Linked DNA regions of Sus scrofa. The protein of the gene in region 3 interacts with the protein of the main gene of each other region in a pairwise test. Links are inferred from orthologs where the notes say so. Each region holds a gene or a part of one and is shown on either strand. Other genes may lie near its edges.

Region 1 (3,638 bases), on a different chromosome or scaffold from region 3:
CCCATCTGTGTGTCCTTGGACAAGTCCCTTAACCTCTCTGAATCCGTGTCCTCCTGAGGCGAAACCCTGCCGCCTGTGAGGAGGATTCGAGGGCCAGTGCTTGGTGGACAGCAGGTACTCAGCGAGCGGCACTCATCCCTGTTTTCCTGAGAAGAGGGTGTTGGCTGAACTGTCTTTCCCGTCACCTAGGCCTCGGCCTCCTGTGGGCCTCACACCTGGGGCATAGACCAGCTAGATGTAGCCCACGAGGGTGGGTCCCAAGTGAGGCAGGCAGGCTCCTCTGACCCACGTCTGCCCCAAGGCGAAGGCCAGCGGGAAGAAGCTGCAGAAGGTGACTCTCAAGGTGTCGCCACGGGGGATCATCCTGACCGACAGCATCACCAACCAGCTCATTGAGAACGTGTCCATTTACAGGTACGCTCAGCATCGTCCACCCTCTGCCGCGCGGGCAGTGGATGGAGTGCCCTGTTTGAATCTAGGCTCTGCCACTTCTGTCTGGTCACCCTGGGGCCTCCAGTTTCCTCATCTGTACACGGCAGGGGGGACAGGACCTGCCTTGGGGTGCTGCTGTAAGCCAGGGGAGCATTCAGCGCTTCGTAAAGAGTGCTCAGCTAAGAGGCAGTTGCTGCTGCCATTATCACTAGTTGCAGCAGGCCTAGGACACCCCTGCCCCCCGCTGCCACCCCCACAAGCGTGCTGCTGAGTCAGGCTTGGAGCTGAGAGCTGCATAGTCACTGCCTTTTTTGCTAGGAATGCAGCAGCTCAGCTCTGGACATCTGGCCAGGCGTCCAGGGAGGCTGCAGGCTGAGTCTGAGACCAAAGTGGAGATGATCTCTTTGGGGGTGGGGGCTGTTCTCAGGGAGGCAGGACCCAGCCCCAGGAGCCTCAGGCTGTCCCTGCCTCTCTTGGCTGGTCAGTTGTAGGATTTCGGAGCTGAAAGGGACAGCTCAGGTCCATTTTCCAGATGGATAGCTGACTCCCAGAGAGGGAACCGCCCGAGGCTTCATGGTGAAGTGGTGGCTGAGCTGGGACCAGGACACTGAGACCAGAGTTCTGTCCAGCAGGCCCTCCACCACCAGGCCTCCCTCCACCCTCTTGCTTCGTCTCCAGTCAACCAGGCTGGCTCAGTGGGCTGGAGCACTAGCCCATACTGGGAATGTAGGTGTGTGTTGGGACGTGGTTTTAGAATTTCTAGGGGGTGTCTTCCTCTTACCTTCCTGATTCTACCTGCCTTCTTCAACCAGCATTTTCTAAGTACCTGCCCTGCTAAGGTCTGTGCCTGGTGAGGAATCAGACCCAGACCCTGCCTGCAGTGAGCTTCCAGCCTGGGAGAGATGGAGGGGGAAATAGGAGGTAGAGTGTGTTTCCTAAAAGGGCAGAGCAAGAGGGGCCTGCCTGGGGGAACCTGGGAAAGCCTCTCATGGGAGGTGGCACCTTGCCAGGGTAGAATAGCAGGATCTAGTCGATTGATACCAAGGACCCAGGGCATTTAGGACAGGCAGCTGGATCCCCTGGGCTGGAGAAGAGGTAGCTGGGAACCTGGCACCCCCTCTCTCTGCCCATCTAGGGGTTTAAGTGGTGCTGATCCCTATGTCAATGCCCGTGATTGAAGTGGGGGCCACATGAGGTCAGGGAGTCTGCTGAGCTCCTGTCCCACTTCTGGGCTGCCAGTTCCTCTCCTGATTGGAATTCCCAGGATGACTGGAGGCAGTGTGGTGGGATCAGACAAGGTGGAGGGGTGGTGGCAAGTGGTTCCCTCCTAGGCCCCCGCCCTACCCCCAGCTCCTCTCCCCCTGCCACAGCTCTAGGAGAACTTGTCAGACGTCTTAGTCACCCTGGGGGAGAGGGGACTGGGGCTCATCTGACCTCTGGGCAGGGGTGTGATCACAGGTAGGGCAGGGGTGGTGGGCGGGGTGGTGTCCTGCCTCCCCTTCCAGCAGAACCCTTAAGAGGACTTGCAAAATCTAGCCTGGTGGTCTGAAACTGTTAGCCTTAGTTTTCTCACTTGAAAAGTGGAGAGAATAACAGAACCCCTCTCAGAGGGCAGTTCTGAGAATTCAGTGAGGCGCGATATGTCTAGAAGGTTGCCTGGTGTGCTGTCTTTGCCCCCACTCACTCCTTCCTGCCCAGCCTGGGCTTCCACCTCCCCAGAGACAGCCTGGGATACCAGGCCCAGAGTCCCGCCCTGGTGGAGTGGGATGGCAGGCTCTCTGGAACTCAGGGGAGAGGCTCTAAGGGGCATTGCAGGTGAGGTGAGGCCCCTGTGCTGGAGTCTGGTGACACTTCCCCCTTGCCTTTCAGAATCTCCTACTGCACGGCAGACAAGATGCACGATAAAGTGTTTGCCTACATCGCACAGAGCCAGCACAACGAGAATCTCGAGTGCCACGCCTTCCTCTGCACCAAGCGGAAGATGGTCAGTGGGGAGAGGCTGGGATCCAGCCGGCTCTGGCCCTGCCTTGGCAGCCCTCCCCTGGGGTTCCTGTCTGGTGGGGGAGGCAGGACTCAGAGATGACAGGGATTGGGGGCTGAGAGCTGAGGGCACCGTTTAGGGCTGCAGTCCAGTGGGAGGCCTGTCAGGATGGGCTGCCCTTGGCTGGCCTGTGGGCAGTGACAAGCCCATGTTCCAGTGCCCTGGGCCCTTCCCTCTCCACAGAGTAATTTGATGGATTTGAGATTTGGGAGGGGTCCTCCTGTCACTCGTATGGTCTGGGGGTGCAGGGCGTTATGAGGGATTAATCCTTGGAGACTGGCGATCAGAGGGGCCCAGGGTGAAAGGCAAAGGCGAGAACCCTCAGGGGCCCGGGCTTGCTGTGGCCAGAGCAGGAAGTGCAGTGGCCGTGTTGTGGTACCTCATCTGTCTCTGTTTCGGTGGTGATCCTTAAAGTATCGTCTCATTTAATCCCCAGAACAACTCTGCGAGGTGGGCGCTGTTACTGTGTTCCGTGTTTTATTTTCATTTTTAATGAGGAAGCAGCCTCACAGAGGTCCGCTGTCTTGCTAGGGAAGATGACGAAGCCAGCCAGGCAGAGTGAGGGTCTAAACCTAACTTTCCTCCCTCCCGCGTGACTGTGAGGAGCCAGGAGCCCCCGCCCCACATCCAGGCCACCCTGAGCACAACTAGCTGGGACAGGTGGGACCTTGGGGGTCCCTGGGCATTTGCTTTGGGCATCATGGCCAGCAGCTGGAGTGAGTCAACCTTTGGCACTGAAGCTTTTGTTTCTGAGCCTCTGACGTCTGAGCACCCACCCTGGAAGGAGGTTCCTGACATTTATTGATTTGGATTTGGCTTCTGTTCACCTCTCTGTCTGAAGCCCAGAGCTCCAGTCCCTGTGGTCCTTATGGCCAACGAGACAAGATTCTCTCCCCTACCCCGTCCAGGGACACAGCCAGGACATCCCAGGCTTTCCATGTCCCCCCACCACCACCCCCTGCTTCCTGCTGCCCCTCAGGGCCTCTTCTCCAACTTCAGAGTCAGCAGTGAGGAGCACCGTCCAGCCACCCTCTCTGCTTCTGTCGTCACGTTGCTATTTCTGACTCTCAACCTCCTGCCTCCCTCTCATAAGGCCCTTTGTGATTGGGCCCGCTGGGTAATCCAGGATAATCCCCATCTCAAAGTCCTTAACTTAATCACATCT
Region 2 (4,321 bases), on a different chromosome or scaffold from region 3:
AGACTCTTGGTCACCCATCAGAAGAGGGCATCAGCACCTCGGCTTTCTCGCTTGCTCGCCTGCTGGGTGAGTGGAAGGAATGTCACACACTGAGCCCCGAGTCTCAGACAGAGAAGGGACTCTTGCTCAGCCTGCTCCCTTCTCCAAAGCCTTCTGGTTACAGCTGCCTGCCAAGCCCAGCCCAGTTGTTGAGGAGCAGGTGACATCCAAGCTGCAGTGTGTCCCAGTCACTCAGGGAGTGTGCAGGGGTTATTGGACTCTGTTTAACTGCCACCCCCCACCGCCACCCCCAGTAACTGCTGTGTCATGGAAGGCACTTCCCCACTTCTAGCTCAGCTTTGCATTTATAAATGAAAGCAAATTAACTGGACCTCCCTGGGAACATCCAGGGCCCTTTACTTCCAGGGTGACTGAGTAATTGCAGGGTTGAAATGGATGGCAATGCTGGGGCTAACATCTGAAAAGCAGAGCAGTTCAAAAGCAAATGTGGGGGCACATTGGCACAGGAGCCCCTCCTGGTTAATAATGAGACTTGGGACATCTGCAGGCACCTGGGGCGGGGTTCTCTCAAGCGGGTGGCAGGCAAAGAAAGCTGAGCTTTACCCACTGAATCAGCACCATCCTCCCAGCTGGCTGCTGAGTCAGGCCCGCAGAGCTGGCCATGCAGCAGGATGAGGCCCAGGGGCACTTTCTGACCTGGAAGTACTGCCCTTCGGGCTGGGCCAGAGTTGGCATCGCAGCAGGGGTGTGCCCTGGTGACGGCTGCCCGTGGGTGGGATGCGATGGCGGGGGTGGCACCTCTGCTGTGGCCAGGCAGGAGGGTTAAGCACCCCGGCCACTCTGACGACCCTGAGGTCCAGTTCCTGCGAGGCCTCCGTGGCTCAGGCGAGGGCCCAGCAAGTCCCCTGAGCTCTGACTCTTGAAGATCCCAAGGCCCAGCGTCCAGTGACCGAGGGGGGGAGGGCGTGGGGGCCAGGGCCCCGACCTAAGGCGGTAGGTTTTCCTGGAGGAAGGCCCCCTGCCTTCGTGCAGCGCCTCAGGACCCTTTCCTTTGGAGGGGCTGGTGAAAGATTTAAACGAGCACACGAAACACACGGAGACAGGGTTTGCACACAGCAAACATTATTCTCGATTCGCGAGGGCGGGAGTCGGCCGCGCGGGGAGCTGACCCGCCGTGCTGGGCGCCCCTCTGCCCCTGCCCGCGGGGAGGGGCAGCCGCCAGGCGCTCGGGGTCGCCGGCAGCCGCGCCCGCGCGGGGCCGCCCACGGAGGGCCCCTCGTCGCCCCTCGCCCCGCCCCAGTGTGGCCCGCGGCCGCCGGCCCGGGACCGCATCCGCGCCGCGGAGGCCCGCTCCCGCCGGCCCTCAACCCAACCCGCGCGGCGCGGGGGCCGAGGGGAGCCGCCCGGCCTCGGTTTCCCGGGCCGCCCCGCCCCCCGGCGACGGGCAGGGTGACGTCACGGCGGCGCGTGGCATTGTGGGGCGGGAGCGCCGAGCCGGGGGAGGGACGCCGAGACGCCATTTTCGGCGGCGGGAGCAGCGGAGCCGGAGCCGGCGGAGCGCGGGGCGGCGGCTGCGAGGAGGAGCCGCGGGAGACAGCGCGCGCGGGCGGCTGAGCATGCTGCGGGGCGGCCGCGCCGGCGCTCCTCGCTACTGACCGCGGCGCCGCACCTGAGGCGGCCGAGGCGGCGGCCCCGGCGGTCCTGCTCCGCGCACGCGCCCGCGGCCTCCCGGTGCTGACAGCGCGAGCGCGCGGCCCCGCGGGAGCAGCACGGTGAGTCGGCGGCGGGCCCCGGTCCTCCGGCCTCCCTCTTGCCCCCTCCCCGGGCCGCCGCCCGCGGCCTCCCGCAGGTCCACCCGCTCCCCTCCCGGTCCCGGTCGCCGCCCAGGCGCGGCCCCCTCCCCGTCACGTTCCCCCAGGTTCGGGCGCCCATCGCGCCCCGGCCGCACCCCGGCTCCGCATCCCCGCTCGGCCCTGCTGCGGCCGGGGGCGGGGCGGGGCGCGGCGGGGGCGGCCGCTCCGGGAGCAGCTGCGGCCCCGGGCGCCGCGGGGCGGGGGACGTGGCCGCGCCCGGGAGCGGGGCGCGCGGCGCGCGGGGAGGGGGCGGCCGGCCGGCTTTGTCCCGGTCCTCCCTCTTCCTTCCGGCCCCCGCCCTCTCCCGCGGCACCGCCCTGGGCGGACGCGCCTGTCAGGCTCGAGGGCGGCCGGCGGCCGGCGGGTCGGAGCGTGCGGGGTCCCTCCCGAGAGGCCGGCGGCACCTCGCCTGCTCCGGATCCCTTTCTTTGAGGCGCCGGGGGCGAAAACGTCTCTTCCACCGTGTTCACCGAGGCCCGAATTGCTCCCGCTCAGCTGGCAGCATCCTGGCCCCGGAATACTTAACTCGGTTGTCAAATTTGGTTCCCCTCTTTCCCTAAAAAATTAAAGTGAAGCGTTAAAGTTAATGCCTGGTGGATTGAATGGTTTTGTAAGTTAAGGTTTGTAGGTGCAGGTAATTTTGTGTTGGAGATTTTGTATTGTTACTGCTTTTTATGTTTTGTTATTTAAACAACATGGAGTTTAGATGCTAAGTGTTTGATAAGTATTTGAGAAAATGATGTTGTGACAAATGTGAGAGTAGCACAGCATTTGCGATACACCATTTAAACTGCTGTGTGAAAGGGCAGTTGGTTCTCTGATTCTTTGCATTAGTTAAACTTCTAGGCTGTTTTTGTACAGCGTGACTAAGCCATGATCAGAATCATCAGCTCGTAACACATTGTAATAGTTAAGTGTAAAAACTCATTAGGAATTGGAACAACCTCTTTAAATGTCATACTCTTATTAGGACGAACCTTTCAGGGGCTGGCCACAAGCCTTAGATAAGATGGGAAATGATTCATCTTCTGTTTCCTGAGTGTTTCCAAGAGTTCAGTGATACTAAATAATAAAAACGAGATTGTTGGGGCTTCTGTGTGGGAGGGTGCCCTCTCTTGAGCCGGTTTCTCCAAGTCATCCCAGACTGCAGCCTCATGTTGCAGTGGAGCCCGGCCGCCCTGTGGTGTTGCTGAGGGCTGTGGGGGACCAGGCTGGTAACCTCACTGCGGCCTGGCTCGTTCCCCTGGCTTGGCAGCGCCTTCTGTAAATGCTGTAGACGGTACGTAGTAAAGGTAGAAGGACATCCGTGGGAATCAGGACAGTGATTGTCGCTAGCAGGGACTAGGAGGAAATGCCACTGAGACGCATAGAATCCTGAGGGTTACATAGCAAACGAAAACTCCGTTGCAGTTACTTAAATTATACCTTCTTAAAAAAAGATTATGCCTTTTTTGGGGGGGAGGGGCACACCCTTGGTGTGTGGACGTTCCTGGGCCAGGAACAGAACCTGTGCCACAGCAGTGACCCAAGCCACTGCAGTAATAACACTGGACCCTTAACTCGCAATGCCACAAGGGAACTCCAAAGTATACCTTCTTAAACATGTTTCATATGGTTGAAAAGTAGGTAAGTCAGTGTGTAGCTTTCCATGTAGACTATAAACTATCTTAAAAACACAATTGTGTAAAGGGAACTAGAAAATAGAGGAGTCAGAAGTGGAATGAAACTTAGGATTCATATGACTGGAAACATAAGTAGAATATGTTAAGAAATCAGGACTTTTAACAAAGAAGTGGTCAGTAATGTCCTGAGCAGAAGCACGGGGAGATTTGAAGTGTCAGTGTCGTGGCATGGACTAAAGATGTTAGCCCATTAGGTTGCGAAAGCAGGGTCTTCAGTGTCTCCTGAGAGCCCCCTGCTGTGCTCAAGTAGTCGGGGACGAGGAGACAGCCGCCGCCATGGAGGAGCTCCATCTGATACCACAGAATAGGTCCTGTACTGTGCCCAGTGCTCCGAGGTGATGCAGGCTCTGAGGCTCGAAGAAAAGTGGGGTGGGACTGGGAGCGGTGGTGCTGCAGATTTCGAAGGGATGAGAGGGAAAGATGGGGTCAGGAAAGGCTTGTACACAGAGCTTAGGGCTTTGCTTTCATCCCGAGGCTAAGGAAGGAGGAGAGGAGGGGCTTAGGAGTGAGGTGATGGTTCACAGGTTCAGAAAGAGCATGGATGGCCTAGTGAGACTGTTTGTTTTTGGTCTTTTTAGGGCCCCACCTTCGGCATATGGAGGTTCCCAGGCTAGGGGTCAGTCGGAGCTGTAGCCGCCGGCCAACACCACAGCCACATCAATGCCAGATCCGAGCCTGCGACCTACACCAGAGCTCACAGCAATGCCAGATCTTTAACCCACTGAGCGAGGCCAGGGATCAAACCTGCGTCCTTGCGAATATTAGATTTGTTTCTGCTGAGCCATG
Region 3 (4,231 bases):
CCCGGCTGGTCTGGTTGAGCTCCCTTTGAAGCACCACACCAGGTGGAAGGCAGCTGCTAGGCTGTCACCAGTGGGCTCTTGATCAGGATTCATGCCATCTGTGTGGCTGCCAAGGCTGAAAGTGTCAGTCTTAGGTTCATGGTGTCCTCAGACCTCACTGAAAGGAAATGCAAATCAGGTGGCTAAAAGTGGGAGAAATAAGGGCCTATGGGAACTGGCAGAGTACAGGCGTTTTCGTCGTGGTGCAGCGCTAACGCATCCCACTAGGATCCACAAGGATGCAGGTTCAAACCCTGGCCTTGCTCAGTGGGTTAAGGATCCAGCGTTGCTGTGAGCAGTGGTGTAGGTTATAGATGCGGCTTGGATCTGGTGTGGCTGTAGCTGTGGTGTAGGGTGGTAGCTGTACCTCCAATTGGACCCCTGGCCTGGGAACCTCCGTATGCCGCGGGTGCTGCCCTAATCACAAACCAACAAAAAAATCTGGTAGAGTCTAAGGAAAATCAAATAGGACAAGTGGAAGTTAACATGTAACCACAGAAGAGTTCCTGCTGGGGCATCACAGGATTGGTGGAGTCAGGAGTGCTGGGACGCAGGTTCCATCCCTGGCCAGTGGGTTAAGGATTCGGTGTTGCCATAGCTGTGGCTTAGGTCTCGACTGCCTCTTGGATCTGATACCTGGCCCAGGAACTCCACATGCCATGGGGCGGCCAAAAATGAAGAAAAAAAAAAAAGTGAAATGGTAGATGGAGTCCTGTGGTGGCACAGCAGGTTGAGGATTGGGCACGGTCACTGCTGTGGTGCAGGTTTTATCCCTGACCTGGCGACTTCCACACGCTGAGGGTGTGGCCAAACAAAAATATATATCTATCGAAATGAACTCAGTGTGTGGGTTAGATGACGCATTGGTGAAATGAAACTGAAATCTGCATAAGTTACACAAAATCAAGACACCGAAGTGGAGTAAATGAGCGTTTGTTGCTGGATCTTAGGATGAGACTGGAACCCCAGAGGGGACAAGTGAAGGGCAGAGAGCTCTGAACACCTACCGTGTAGGCGTGCGTACTGCGGTGACGCTGCAAAGGCAAGTCAGAGGACAGCCAGGTCAGCATCCTGGACACCTCAGGAGGGAGGGGACAGGCGCCCAAAGATAATGGCCCTTCCCTCGGGGCGGGGGGAGGGGGCACGCGGATGCTCGCCCAAGTCCAGGCCGTACGGAAGCATTTGTGCACACTGCGCGGACGCGCGGCCCCTGGTAAAAATCTACGCCGTCAGCGTCGCGGGAGCTGACCGACAGCGGCTCTGACAAGCCTGCCGGAAGCGTTCCCTGCCCAGCTTCCGGCCGGAGACGGACTTCCTCCTACGTCAGGGCACCTGCGACCCCTAGCGGCGGGGCGCCGGCGGGACGGGCGGGCACCGCCCTCGCTGTCTGGAGGGCGGGACTTCCGGGCGGCGGGACTTCCGGCTGCTGAGTGACGGGCGCAGCATCAGCATCGGCGGCGGCAGCGGCTGAGCCCTGAGGCAACAGCGGCTGCGGCGGAGGCGACGGGCTGCGGCCTGCGGACTCACGGGCAGCCGGGGCGGGCGAACGCGCCGGCGGACAGCAGGCCGCGCTGGCGGCGGCGGTGGCCGCGATGATGGAGATCCAGATGGACGAGGGCGGCGGCGTGGTCGTGTACCAGGATGACTACTGCTCCGGCTCGGTGATGTCGGAGCGGGTGTCGGGCCTGGCGGGCTCCATCTACCGCGAGTTCGAGCGCCTCATCCACTGCTATGACGAGGAGGTGGTCAAAGAGCTTATGCCGCTCGTGGTCAACGTGCTCGAGAACCTGGACTCCGTGCTCAGCGAGAACCAGGAGCACGAGGTGGAGCTGGAGCTACTGCGCGAGGACAACGAACAGCTGCTCACCCAGTACGAGCGGGAGAAGGCTCTGCGCAAGCAGGCCGAAGAGGTGCGTGGGCCGGGCCGCGCGGGGGACCCTCGCCCCGCCCGTGGGCCCCGCCCTCAGCCCCCGCCCTGGCGGGGCCCGACTCCCGCCCCGCCCACCCAGCCAAGCCCCCCGGGGCACCCCCCCCGCCGGGCCCAGGGGCTGAGCCCTGGCTCCCCCTTCCTCCCGGCCCGCTGCTCCAGCCAGGAGCCCTGACCCCTAAACCACCTGGCGTCACGGGGGAGAGCTTGCAGCGCGAAGGGTCTCAGGCCCCAGTGTCCCATCCTTACCCACCTCTCATCCCAAACGCCAGGTCTTTTTGCTTTTGTGTGTGTGTTTCGCAAACGTTTCCTAGACTCCAGGTTGCTGCCGTTTTAAAGTCTCCGAGAAAAAGGAGGTTTCTGATCTTACGGTTCTGCAGCCAGAGGCTGTCCGTTGTCAGATCTGTGCCTTGTCTCTGGGCCGGTGTTTTGAAGGTCTGTGACCCGGGCGAGTTTAAGGATGGATATGAACACAGAACCAAAGCCTCGCTGGCACCTGGTGAAAGACCTCAAGTTTATGGAGGTGGTTTCTTTCCCCTGCGTTGCCCTCCCTTGGGGAGGTTGTTAGCTTCTGTGAAAAGGCTGAGAAATTGCACTGTGGCTTCCGAGGAGTTAAAAGGAGAATTTGGAAAGAGTGTATTCTGTCCTAGATATTCTATCTTCCTAAATTGGACGTCATGTCTTTGTGAGCCACTTAGAAGAACCACACGCATTGTAAGGAACCCCACTTACCTTCATTCATTCACCGTCATTTCACGCTCTATGCCAGACCTAGGCGGGTCCGGGGATGTGGGCTCTCGTCCCTGCTTTTTGCCTCTGTGACCTTGTCCACGGCGCCTCTCTGCCCCGGATTTTGCATTTCCGTCCGTCCTGTAGTCACTCGCCCTAGATGATCTCTGAGCCCTGACATTCTGTGCCACCCGTCATTGGGTGATGCTTTTCCATTGAGGAATAGGAAGTTTCTTACTACATGTGCTAAATTCCCCTGTAATTAATTTGGGTCAACACCTTCTTGACTTGAGTATTGAAGTGGATTGTTCCAGTGTTTCGACTTTTTCTCGAGCCCAAGCAGTGGGTGGCCTGGTTTGGTTTAAGTGTGTGTGTGCGTGAACGTTGTCTTGTGTCATTCTTGCTTCCGGGGACCCACTGGCTCTTGGGTTTTGTGCATCTGTCAAAGGACGGTTGCCTGCTGGGGCTCACAACTGAAGGGGATGCCCAAGCTTGTAGGATTTCGGAGTTCACGGTGGCCCTAGGCATTTCCTGGGGAAAGAACAGGGGGCGCCGGGGGGGGGGGGGGGGGGGGGGGGGGAGGGGTCCCAGGTCACATGCCCCGGAAGGACCAGGCGGGGACCCAGTGTGGCCTGACCCCTGGCGTGAGCTCTTCCATGATGCCGCTGTGGGCGGTCAGAAGCCTGACGCGCCGGGCTCCCCTCCCCTCCCCCCGGGCAGTGCCGCCCATTTTGGCCTGTCCTCAGCAGCCATCTGATGCCTCACGGTGGGTTTCAGGAGGGTTTCCTGCGTCCCGTGCCCGTGTGGTCCGTATAGTGGCCTGGAAGGAAGTCCGGGGAGAAGGATGGACGGCCTTAAGGCTGAGAACCCTCACCTTCCGACTTCACCCTCAGCTCTGGGTGGGCGAGGCCGCGCTCTGCTCCGTGCAGTCCAGGGGCAGCCCCAGCCGAGTGGGCCCCTGGCCGCCCGGTCGCACCCGGGGCCTGAGAGCTGAGCAGTCTGGAGGAGACTGGCTCCCTGCCTCCGCTGTTGAGAGAGGCGGAGCCGCGAGCCCCGGAGCGGACCCGGTTTGGCAGGCCGGCCAGAGGCTGTGATGTGACACTAACGGTGCCCTTAGAGAGACCTCCCGTGTGGCCGAGTCCCGCCACCGGGTCGGCATCCTGGCTCACTTTCCGCGTCCAGCAGACGCCCCTCTCCTGTTCCGTGGAAGAGACCGGTCGGGGGCGGGGGGGGGGTGCTTTTCCAGACACAGGGGCAGAACGGCCTGGCCTGGCAGTGGCTCCTGGCGCCCTGGCCGGTCTGCTTGGGAAGGCGTTTTCAGAGGCCGTAACCCGAACCGCCTGCAGCCTCTGAGTGCGCGCAAGCTGCAGGCTAAAGAAGAGCCGGGAGCAGAGCAAGCACCCCTGCCCCTGCGGCACGCCCGCGATAGGCTCAGCGAGAGGCTGGTGCCTGTGTTCTGGTCCCGAGGGGGCCCTCTCATGAGACAGGAGCTGGAGATGGTGGGGCCCCGGGCGGAGGCCCAGGGTCTGCAGACGC

The links.
Region 1: the proteins of MAPK8IP3 (region 3) and LDLRAP1 interact in binary tests that used the Homo sapiens proteins (3 or more experiments, as listed by UniProt). The two-hybrid records come from large-scale screens. The link is inferred for Sus scrofa from reciprocal best matches to the Homo sapiens genes MAPK8IP3 and LDLRAP1.
Region 2: the proteins of MAPK8IP3 (region 3) and KLC1 interact in binary tests that used the Homo sapiens proteins (3 or more experiments, as listed by UniProt). The link is inferred for Sus scrofa from reciprocal best matches to the Homo sapiens genes MAPK8IP3 and KLC1.

Annotation. Positions count from the first base shown.
Region 1 is NC_010448.4:83,040,618-83,044,255, forward strand, and holds part of LDLRAP1 (low density lipoprotein receptor adapter protein 1), read left to right. Parts: intron 1-301; coding exon 302-414; intron 415-2,301; coding exon 2,302-2,416; intron 2,417-3,638. UniProt on the Homo sapiens protein: Adapter protein (clathrin-associated sorting protein (CLASP)) required for efficient endocytosis of the LDL receptor (LDLR) in polarized cells such as hepatocytes and lymphocytes, but not in non-polarized cells (fibroblasts).
Region 2 is NW_018084979.1:2,151,799-2,156,119, forward strand, and holds the start of KLC1 (kinesin light chain 1), read left to right. Parts: upstream 1-1,507; 5' UTR 1,508-1,772; intron 1,773-4,321. UniProt on the Homo sapiens protein: Kinesin is a microtubule-associated force-producing protein that may play a role in organelle transport. The light chain may function in coupling of cargo to the heavy chain or in the modulation of its ATPase activity.
Region 3 is NC_010445.4:40,238,514-40,242,744, reverse strand, and holds the start of MAPK8IP3 (C-Jun-amino-terminal kinase-interacting protein 3), read left to right. Parts: upstream 1-1,293; 5' UTR 1,294-1,631; coding exon 1,632-1,949; intron 1,950-4,231.